Caenorhabditis elegans: one gene and its partner. The protein of the gene in region 1 purifies or fractionates together with the protein of each later gene. This does not show direct contact. Each region holds a gene or a part of one and is shown in the gene's direction. Other genes may lie near its edges.

Region 1 (7,702 bases):
AAAATTCAAAAAAAAATTCCAAGAAATCTAACTCCTAACCAAAACTTGGAAAATTGTCAAAAAAAAATCCAAAAATTTGGAATCAAAAATCGAAAATCACTCAAATTTACGAAAAATTCAACAAAAAATTGTTTTCAAATAGTCAAATTCCCTTTTCTGAATGAAAAAAATTTCAAATTCGAATTTTTTTTTGAAAAAAATTATCAAAAAAATCGATTTTTCATTGATTAAGAGTAAAATATTCGAATTGATATTTAAAAATAAAAAGCTTTAAAAATTTAAAAAGTTCAAATATTCGAGAAAAAAAATGCTTTTCTCAAAAATTCTCAGAAATACTTTTAGTTTTTAAAGTTTTTGAAAAAAATTCAAAAAAAATTTGAAAAAGTTTAACTCCTAACTAAAACTTGGAAAATTGTCCAAAAAACCGAAAAAAAAGCTTCTTCAATCGAATTTCTGGCTTCTACCAGAGCCAGGTAGAATTTTCTGAAAAAATTTTTTGAAGAAATCCAATAATTTAGAATCAAAAATCGAAAAACACTAACACTTACGAAAATTTCGAAAAAAAAAGTCCCGAAAAAATTCAAAAAATGAATTTTTTTCGATTAAGAGTATTTTTTAAAAAAATCAAATATAAAAACTTCGAGAAAAAATCTGGAAGCAAGCAGAAATCAGTCGAAAAACTGAATAATTAATTTCAGAAAAATTCTCAGAAATACTTTTAGTTTTTTAAAATTTTTGAAAAAAATTTTAAAAGTTTAATTCCTAACTTGACAAATTGTCGAAAAACCCAAAAAAGCTTATTTAATCGAATTTCTGGCTTCTACCAAAGCCAGGTAAAATTTTCTGGGAAATTTTTTGAAAAAATCCAAAAATTTGGAATCAAAAATCACTAAAATTTACGAAAAAGAACGTTCTTTTCCAATTTAAATTGAAAAAAAAACTAATTTTTATCGATTAGGAGTATAATATTTAAAAATACAATTCAAATATAAAAAAAATTCGAGAAAAAATCTGGAAGCAAGAAGAAAACAGTCGAAAAACTGAATAATTATCTTTTTTAAGGAAAAAAATCGCACTTTTTGGCTTCTACCAATTTTCTGGAAAAAAATTTGAAAAAATTTGGACAAAAAATCGAAAAACACTCAAACTTATTAAAATTGAATCAAAAAATTTAAAAAAAATTTAAACCGCAAATATCGAAAAAACGGGAAAAAAATTTTAAACATTGGATCGAAAAGTCTCAAAATTTGGTCACTTTTGGTAAAAACAGAAAAAATCTGAACAATTTGAGAAAATATCGATTTTTCTTCAAAATAAGAGGATTTTTTGTAGTTTTTCAGTTGAAAAATTTTTTTATCGAGAAACGTTTCGAAAATTTGAAGAAAAAAATCTCACATCCAAAATTACCATAAAATTGGAAAATTGATAATATTTTTTGAAAAAATACAATTTTAAACATTTAAAAAAAATTATCATATTGAAACAATCGAAAAAACTAAAATTTTTTGGTACTTTTAGTTTTCAGAATTGTTGAAAAAAAACTTTTCATCAAAAAAAAATTTTTTTAACCTAAAACTTCCGAAAAATTTCGATTATTCGGAAATTTTTTGGTTTTTTTCATAATTTTGTTTTCTAAAAATTCAAAAAAAAATCACTTTTTTTCAGGTACATCACCGGCGAGAACTGCATTGTTGGAGGAGGAGTCTCGTATCGATTGTAGATTTTTTTTGCAATTTTTCATTCATTTTTTAGACTTTTTTAGTAGGTTTTTCTGTTCATAATTGTTAAGTTTATTTTTTCTATTAATTTTTGCTCAATATAAAATCGAATTTTTTGTTTTACCTCCTTTTTTCTCTCGAAAATTCAGGTTCCCTGTTTCCCAAAAAATCTATTTTTTTCAGTTTTATTCATTTCTAAAAAAATTCGAATTTCCCTCCCACACAGATCAGATCCAAAAAAAAAATGCTCAGAAGTGGGCGGAGCCTACCAATGTGGCCATCGCGAATTCCAAATGAGGAATATGCGATGAGAAGGACGAATTTGATGAATTTACTCAAAAAAGAGGTCAAAACTGGGGGTAAGAGGCAGAGAAATGGCCTGGTGGCCTAGAATTCTGAAAAAGTTAGGCCATCATTTGGAAATGAGGATTTGCAGTACAAATAGGACTTTTTTAAATTAAAATTTTCTCAAAAATCCGAAATTTCGCGGTTTTTAATTGAATATTGGGATTTTTAAAGATTTTTTTTTCAAAAATTCGGATTTTTCAGATTTTTCCGTTGAAAACTCGAATAATTGCCAATTTTTGGGTAAAAATTCCAATTTTCTTTTAAAAAATTAATTTTTTTAATTGAAAAAAAAAATTAAGGCGAGTTTACTCTCAAAAATTTGGAATTTTCCGATTTTTAAATTTTTTTTTGAAAATTTGGATTTTAAAATCCAAATAAAGAGAATTCTCAAAAATCCGAATTTTCAGATTTTTTTAAAGGAAAAATTCTATTTTTCTCTATAAAATTAAATTTTTCCTGAAAAATGTTTTCCCATTTTTCTTGAAAATTTGATTTTTCTAAAAAAAAAAACGAAATTTTTCAGAAAAATTTATTCTACAAAATTCATCGTGTCGAGACCCGGTACCGTAATAAAATCACCATGGTGGCCTAGAAAACCATTTAAAAGTTAGGCCATGACCTCTCAAAGTTTCAGAAAAGCAAGTGGTCGTTGTGATGAAAGGAGCACGGAAATCATATATTGCACCGGATGTTCCACACGCGTTCCGACAGAAAAGCCATTTCAGGTTCGGTTTTGATGGCCGTGGCCGTGAAAATGATGAGAGAAAACTCGGCCACAGATTAACTTTTTAAGTTAAAAAAAGCTTTTTCCAGAAAAAAAATAAAAACTAGAGAAATTTTTTTAGATCCAATTTTCAAACAAATAAATAAATTTTAGAAAATTTTTTTTCTGAAAAAATCGAAGAAACAATCGAAAATTGGAATTTTTCCCAAAAAAAATTTCAAAAACAAGAATTGATTGAAATTCTTGGTACTTGTGTATTACATGCCCTCATTTTAATAGTAATTTTTTAAGTAGCAAAATAGCAATTTCTAAGCCTAAAAAGAGAAAATGTATATCACGTTTAATTTAAATGGAGAAATTAATGAACATTTAATTTAATTTAAAAATGAGGGCATGTAATACACAAGTACCAAATTCTTCAGAAAAAAATTGAAAATTTTTCAAAAAATCTAAAAAAGAATGAAAATTAATTTTTTTGTCAGAAAATATTTTTGTTTTGAAAATCAAAATTTCGCCCTAAAAAAATTGAAAAATAACCTAAAATTATCGAAATTTAAGCTAAAATTAATATATTAGTAGAATTTTTCTGAAAACATTTTTTTTTAATTCTAGATTTTCCCGAAATTTTTTGTTATAAAATTAGTAGAAATTTAACATGTTCTTCTTTAAAAAAAAAACTAGAAAATCAGGAATTATTGAAATATTGAATTTTTCAGGAAAATTTCGTTAAAAAAAATCATTGCCGCCGAAAATCGACAAATTTCTTTTTCTGAACGAAAATTAAATTATTTAAAAATTGAATTTGTTTTTTTTTTGTTCAACGAAAATAATAGATTTGTTCACAATTTTCGGATTTTTTTTGGGAAAAATTCAAAATTGTTTGATAAAAAAAATAAATTAAATTTTTAACAGAAAAAAATTTGAAAAATTTTTTTTTTTTGCAGATACCTAAACGGAATCACCACACCAGATTGTTATTACATAATGCAATCAGGAATATCCGAATCTTCAAAAGAAACAAATATTCTTTTTGCTGACCGTCGTAGTGCCTATGATGAGCTATGGGAAGGCGCCCTACCAACTGAATCCGAATGGGAAAAGACTGCAAAATTCACGGAATGTGTGCCGACTAGCCGGATTCTACAGACTTTGGAAAAAGTTTGCGATAAGGGAACTGCAGTGTTTTTTGATTCGACTTCTGATGATTTACTCTATAAGTTTGTACAGGCTAAAGCTAATTCTGTTCGGGAAATTAATCATTTTGTGAGTTTAGAGATATATAGAATTTGCAGAAAATTGTTCAAGCTTTGAAAAAAAAATCCGATTTTCGAGGATTTCAAAGTAAAAATTCAAATTTTGTCCAATTTTTAAACGAGGTCAATTTTTTTCGATTTTCTAGTGGAAAATTTGATTTTTTCTTGAAAAAAAAGAATTGTCTGAACAAAATAGGAAGTTTAAATTTTCCAGAAAATGGTTTTAGGAGGTTTTTTTCATCCCAGAATAAACATTTTTAATCTAATTTTTCAAATTTTTCAAAAAAAAAATTTTTTATTTACTTTTTATTTTGTTTCACCAATTATCAATAAAATTGAAAACGCTCCAAATTTTAAACTGAAAATTTTTTTTTCGAAAAAAAAAAATTTTTTAACGGTAAAAAAATTTTCCCAATTTTTACTGTTTTCGAAGCTTTCAATATTCATTTTTTTTTTAGGAAAAAGTTCTAGAAATTATTTTTTTGAAACTTTTGGAAAATTCCAATTTTTTCCTAAAAAAAATTTTTCTGAACACCCGAAAAATCGTTTTAAAATTTCAAAAAAAAAATTATTTTTTTGCCAATTTTCAAGTTTTCCTTGCAGATCGAACGTCGCCGAGTAATAAAATCTCCATCCGAAATGAGCTCAATGCGTGACGTGTGCAACGTGGGAGCCCAGACAATGAGCTCAATGATATCGGGATCACGTGATCTACACAACGAGAACGCGATTTGCGGGCTCTTGGAGTTTGAAGGACGTCGTCGTGGATCAGAAATGCAAGCATATCCACCAGTGATTGCCGGTGGTGTTCGTGCCAACACTATTCACTATTTGGACGCAAATAATGACCTAAATCCCCGGGAATGTGTTCTCGTGGATGCTGGGTGTGATTTGAATGGTTATGTGTCAGATGTGACACGTTGCTTTCCGATTTCTGGATTGTAAGTGCTAAAAATTAGTGATAAAACCCCAAAAAATTAAAAAAAATTGAATGTTTTCCCATTTTTTGCTGATTTCGCCCACAAGTCTATTTCTACGAAATCTTGCATTCCAGTATTTGTGGTGACTCAAATGAAAATTTTTCTCAGAATTTCAGAAATTACAGAAGTTCGGCCAAAATTCAAGAAAAATGGGGTTTTTCTAGAAATTTTGAATATTCCCGTTTGAGACACCACAAATCATTCTGGAATGCGAGATTTCGTAGATATGGATTTGTGGGAGAAATGGGCGGGGCTATTCCAAGATGGCTAAAAAATTACGCTAAACATAGAAAAAAAAAAGAAGAGGCACCACCGAAAGGAGAACAGGTGAAAAAGGAGAACAGAAACCACGCCCATTTTTTCCGTGCCGCGCGCAAGTTTTTCTGCAAATTTTTATTTTCAAACGAGACAACGAAGCTCCGAAATAACACGTTGATGATAAAGAACACGATATGCGTTATTTCGGAGTTTCGCTGTCTCGTTTGAAAATAAAAATTTGCAGAAAAACTTGCGCGCGGCACGGAAAAATGGGCGTGGTTTGTGTTCTCCTTTCTCCTTTCGGTGGTGCCTCAAAAAGAGTCTTTTTTGCACTTTATTCCTTTAAAAATCTCCAGAAAATTCAGGAAAAATGATTTTTTTTCTGGAGATTTTGAAAATTCTAATTTGAGTCACCACAAATTCGAGAAAAAAATGTTGTTCCGTAGAAATGGAATTCAGGGTGAAATTCCCAAAAAATTACGCTATAATGAATTTCAGAATTCAGGAATTGATTTTTAAAAAATAGAAGATTTCGAAGAAATAGATTCGTGAGAGAAATAGGCGGTGCTAATCACGGAGTTCTCCCCTTCCTCAGTGAATTTTTTGCGCTCCATTGACAATCGCCCGCCGGACAACGCGTGGGAAAGTCGTGTACTCCACACGTACAAATGCATTTAGTTTTACAACTAAAATCGAGCCGCGACGCGGCACCAGATATGGCCGAGCCAAAATGGCCTAGTTCGGTAAACTCTTCCATTCCAATTTATGAGGGAAGCCAGAAATCCGTGGATAATCGTTTTATATAAAGTTTAATATAATTCGAACGAAATTTGAAAAATCGTTTCAAAAAACCTTCCCAAAAAAAAATTCGTTTTTGCAGCTGGTCAGACGCCCAACTATCCCTCTACGAAGCGCTTCTCTACGTTCACGAAGAACTGCTCACCTACGCCCACTCAATGGAAAAAGTCCGCCTAAGCGCCCTGTTCCGCCGAATGAACGAACTTCTCGCGGCAAGTTTCACCGAACTCGGCCTGATTCGATCTACGGATCACAAGGAGATGATTCATCAGGCGGAGAAGCTGTGTCCCCACCACGTCAGTCATTATCTCGGAATGGATGTTCACGATTGTCCGACAGTATCCCGAGACATTGATCTACCACCGAATGTGCCATTTACCATTGAGCCGGGAGTGTATGTTCCGATGGATTGGCCTGTCAAAGAGTTTCGTGGCATTGGATACCGTATCGAGGATGACGTGGCGACTAGTGAAGCTGGAGGGATTGAGCTGTTGACTGCTGCAGTGCCAAGGGATCCCATCGAGATTCAGAGGCTCATGGGAACGGCCGAATAATTGTTTGAATGTGGAATACCGAAAGAATTGAGAAAATATTTTAGAAATTGCTCCAAATTTGGCCCTGATTTGATATTCCTTTGTTCAAACTTTTCGCTAAAAACATTCTCATTGGAGCGCGTTATGCCATGTGGATTTACGAGATTCAGTTTTACACATTTCTGTCGGTTTTTTTGCTGAAGATCTGCATTTTCGTGCCAATTGAACATTTTATTATCCAAAATTTTTTGCGAAAATTTTCAAAAAAATTAGTTAACTTTACACGAAAATCGATAACAATGATGAAACTCGTTGAAAATCTTAATCTCGTAAATCGACATGACTTTGCGCGCTCCAATGAGAATGAGGCTGGAGTGGCGGAAAAATAATAATTTAGAAAAATAAATATTTTCTTTTGAATTTTTCGGGCCAAATTTGGAGAGATTTCGGTACTGCGCCTCAAATGTTTTTTTTTTGTTTCTATAGTTTCCTAGTTTGTATTTTTTTTTTTGAAAAAACTCGCATTTTCATTGTTTTTCCTATCATTCCTATCAGAGGGGACTCGGGGGAACACAAAATTCAAAATTCACAGAAAACTAGGTGATGATGTTGCTGGAGGCAAAAGAACAAAAAAAGATAGAGAGGGTGGTGTTGGTGGTGGTGGTGGCAATATAAAAAATGAAAAATATAATAAAACAGGAAACGATAAGGCAATAGTGGGATAAAAACGGTATGAAACATCATTCAAACTGAGATTCAGCACAGGAATACTTGGGATGATGTGTGTATGTGTGTGGAGAGAACGAGAATTGCGAAAATGCAATAAGATTATATTATTGTATATGTGATCTTCTCCTATATTTGGAGCATTGTAGCTCCTGGAGCAGCAGCCGGAGCAGTAGACACTGCTGGAGTTGTATTTTCGATGATTGAAGACGCCTCGTCGAGCAGCATCTTCTCGTCGGCTGTAGCGTGTGGGCAAAAGTCCGACAGATCACCGACCAAGTGAGCAATCGATGGAACTGACGAGTGACGGCACATTGGGTATTCCTGGAAAAATTAATTAATTCATAAATATTTCGTGAAATTT
Region 2 (3,542 bases), on another chromosome or scaffold:
TAAATAAATTGAGAAAGCGGTTTAGAAGATCGGAGAACATCAAAAACAGGAGATTTGCAATTTTTCATTTTTTCACATTCGCTGGCTGAATCCGAAAGTACGACCAATGCTTGAAAGGTAGTAACGATCGAGTCCTTGTTGAGTTTCTTCAGCGAGATGAGTTGGAACATCTTTAGCGATGATTTTGATATCCGTTCCAGATCCCTAGAATTTATTATAATAGAAGGTTTATCCTCGTTTGTTCTAAAACTTACAGTATCTTTCAACTGGAAATGGATGGTTGCATGATGATTGTTTGGATACTTTTTCAGTCGCCATTTCTTCACAATCTCCTTGTTCGGCTCAATCTTCTCGAATGTTCCAGTCACGTTTTCCCCGAACAATGCAAATGATCCTCCTTCCTTGAAATTCCACTCTCCGATCGAATTGTTTGTCCATCCACGAACGAATTGAGTCTCTGTGAGCGCCTCGAAAACTCTATCCGGTGTGGCCTTGTAGGTATCGGAAGTTGAAACCTCTTTGGTGGAGAACACTTCATTTCCAGAAGTGGAAGCGTCCTTTTCCGCGACAACAGTGTTTTGGAACTGACGTTTGTCAACGACTGAAGTCTTTCCAGTAGTAACGACTTGTGGCTTCACTTTATCAGTTGGCAGAATGAGACCCTTGCTGAATTCTTCCTTCAATTCACGGATATAGATTCCCATAACATCTTGAATCTTTGCAATGAACGATTTGTTAAGAACTTGGCGGATTTGATGAGCCATTGGGCCATTTCCACTCAATGACGAATTCACATCCACTTCGGATGCATCGTTCTCATCACTCAAGTTTGGGATATCGAAAGTTCCTTTATATTCGTCTTCACTGCCAGAAACACGAGCAATGAATGTTCCTTCGATAACCCATTCAAAAAGGAAGATGAGCTTAGCCTTCCGGTTGTTTGCCGTTGCTTCTCCGTCGATCTTTTTGATCTCATCGATTGTCACGACAATTGGGCCATCCTGAAAACGAATACTCTTAATACGATCTTGTTCAACTATTAATTATACCTCGGACGAAAATCCGGTGAGAAGTTCACGGAGTCGGTTCAAAGACCACGGGGTTGCATTCTTCTCCGACCTAAAACATACTTATTCAGCTCAAAGCTATGACTTCAATCGAGACCCACCAATGCCAATTGTTTACGTTTGTTGCATCGGCTCGTTCTTCAACAATCCAGCGTGGATCTCCTTCTCCCCACTTGGCCATTTAAATTCCCTGAAATTAATTTAAGTCAGTTTATCGAGATTTTTAAGGTGAACATCAAGCCAGATTAAGTCGTTTTGTACTTAAAACAATGGAATTTCAATTTAAAACTTGAAAATAAATATTTAACGTTGAAATCAAAACAAGAAATCTTTGAAATTTCGTTGAAAACAGGAGAAACTCAATTAATTTCGAGAAAATTCATGAAAAATGGAAGAAACTAGGCCAGCAGGCCACGACCGCTTATCAATAGGGCGAGCTTGCATTGCAATTTTTGTGTGGATTTACGCACGTAATTGGTTATTTATTTTTGTTTTTTTTTTTCAGATTTTACGTTACACATTTTTTTAAAATAAATTAATTTTTTCAATTTCAGAAAAATGCTTCCTAAAACGATAATTAGGCACATCTCACAGTTTGCCGGAGTTCGGGACGCAGCAAAGTATGTTCCAAGACGTGCACTTCTATACGTTCCAGCCAGCAATCAAAAAATGCTGGATAAAGTTCCAATGATGCAAGCGGATTCAGTAGTTTTGGAGCTAGAAGATGGCGTTGCTCTGACGGCTAAAGCTGATGCTAGAGTTCGAGTACGTGAAAAGTAATTGGAAATTTGTCTACAATTTGAGTTTTCAGGCTGCGGCGGCTCTTGATAAACTGCCATATCACACATTGGCATGCCAGGAGCTTGGTCTACGTGTCAATTCTGTAAGCAGTGGTCTTCTCGAAGATGATATCATTGTAAGATTTATTTTTGAATTTTTCAAACTTTATCCTCACGAATTTTTTAATTTCAGGCAGTATCGAAAGCTGAAAAGTTGCCACAAGCATTTATGATTCCGAAAGTAGACTGCCCTGAAGACCTTGTCACCATCTACAACATCTTCCGTGAACACTACGGAGATGAACGGATCACAAACACGAACACTCGGCTTGTTATCTGGATCGAATCTGCACGAGCTCTTCTGGATATGCCACGAATAGTCTCATCAACTCTAAATCTTCATAAACAAGCCGGATTCTTCAAGCTAGATGCAGTTGTCTTTGGATCAGACGATTTCTGTGCAGATATCGGAGCTACACGAAGCTCTCACGGCACTGAAACCCTATTCGCTCGACAGAAATTTGTGACTTGCTGTAAAGCATTCCAACTTCAAGCAATCGACAGTGTCTACATAGATATCAAGGATCTTGACGGTCTCCGTCGTCAGTCTGCAGAAGGGTGGCAGTGGGGTTTCACTGGAAAACAAGTCATTCATCCAAGTCAAGTGTCTGTGGTCCAGGAGCAATTTCTGCCTCCGAAGGATCGAATCGAATGGGCTCAGGAGCTGGTCCACGCTTACAGTGAGCACGAGGCATTAGGAAAAGGAGCTTTCCAGTTTAGAGGACAAATGATCGATCGACCACTTCTGCTGCAGGCATTGAATATTATTCAGCTCGTGGAGAGAGTTCAGAATTAAATTCTAAATTCTAAATGTTGTAAAACTTTTTATGTACATTTTTAAATATAGCTCTAGTTGCCAGTGTAATATAATAAAAACGAGTAATTTTAAAATTTCTTTATTTGTTCAAATTCAGACAAATCACTTCTTTCCATAAGTCAAGTAATAAGTAGTGTATCCATTGCTGTTGCTCGGGTAGTAGTAAGTGTATCCATTATTGTTACTGCAGCCGGAGCAACCATTATTGTATCCATTGTTATCGTAATAGTAATAAGTTTGACCATTATTGTTATTATTATTATTATTCGGGTAGTAGTAATAAGTCGTGTATCCGTTATTGTTATTGTTGTTGTAACCGTTGTTCGGGTAGTAATAGTAGAGCTGAAACAAAAAAATGGGAATCAGATAATCAATAGGAACTTACATAATAAGCGTTGGCAGTGGAGAAAAGCACGAGAAGAGTGGCGATCAGTGTAAGGAATCTCATTTTCTAGGAGAGATCAAAGCGAAGTTTATGTTTTCCCCTCTTTACTCGAATCTTTTATACACTTTTACCCTACTCAACATCAAGCTCCACCTCCGTGGCTCCCTTTTGATCTCTCTCTCTTTCAAGAGAAGGGCTAACAGTTTACCAACTCTCAAAAGACTACACATTCCTTTTAATCCTTAACTTTGCTCTTTTTCGGCTTCTTTTCGACCAGAGGAGAGAGGTAACAAGGAGACAATTGTTTGTCTTTTGAGTGCCCCCAATGGCATCCACTATCACTCCACGCCCTTCCAAAAGAGTAGGGGGGGAAAAGCCCCCACGGAGCAGCAGTATAAAAAGTGAAAAGTGGTGGGGGTGAGAAGAGCATCATA

The links.
Region 2: the proteins of icpp-55 (region 1) and C01G10.7 fractionate together in Caenorhabditis elegans (co-fractionation; one large-scale study listed by BioGRID). This does not show direct contact.

What each region holds. Positions count from the first base shown.
Region 1 is NC_003279.8:367,706-375,407, reverse strand, and holds icpp-55 (Aminopeptidase P N-terminal domain-containing protein), read left to right. Parts: upstream 1-1,962; coding exon 1,963-2,077; intron 2,078-2,694; coding exon 2,695-2,791; intron 2,792-3,734; coding exon 3,735-4,053; intron 4,054-4,646; coding exon 4,647-4,984; intron 4,985-6,161; coding exon 6,162-6,633; 3' UTR 6,634-6,907; downstream 6,908-7,702. Other genes in the region: R119.3 (DeHydrogenases, Short chain), read left to right, coding at 1,666-1,720; rnp-8 (RRM domain-containing protein), read right to left, coding at 7,468-7,662.
Region 2 is NC_003283.11:15,084,126-15,087,667, forward strand, and holds C01G10.7 (Citramalyl-CoA lyase, mitochondrial), read left to right. Parts: upstream 1-1,621; 5' UTR 1,622-1,625; coding exon 1,626-1,832; intron 1,833-1,878; coding exon 1,879-1,983; intron 1,984-2,039; coding exon 2,040-2,702; 3' UTR 2,703-2,793; downstream 2,794-3,542. Other genes in the region: ahsa-1 (Activator of Hsp90 ATPase AHSA1-like N-terminal domain-containing protein), read right to left, coding at 73-204, 255-1,001, 1,050-1,119, 1,169-1,248; C01G10.15 (FIP (Fungus-Induced Protein) Related), read right to left, coding at 2,826-3,065, 3,109-3,171.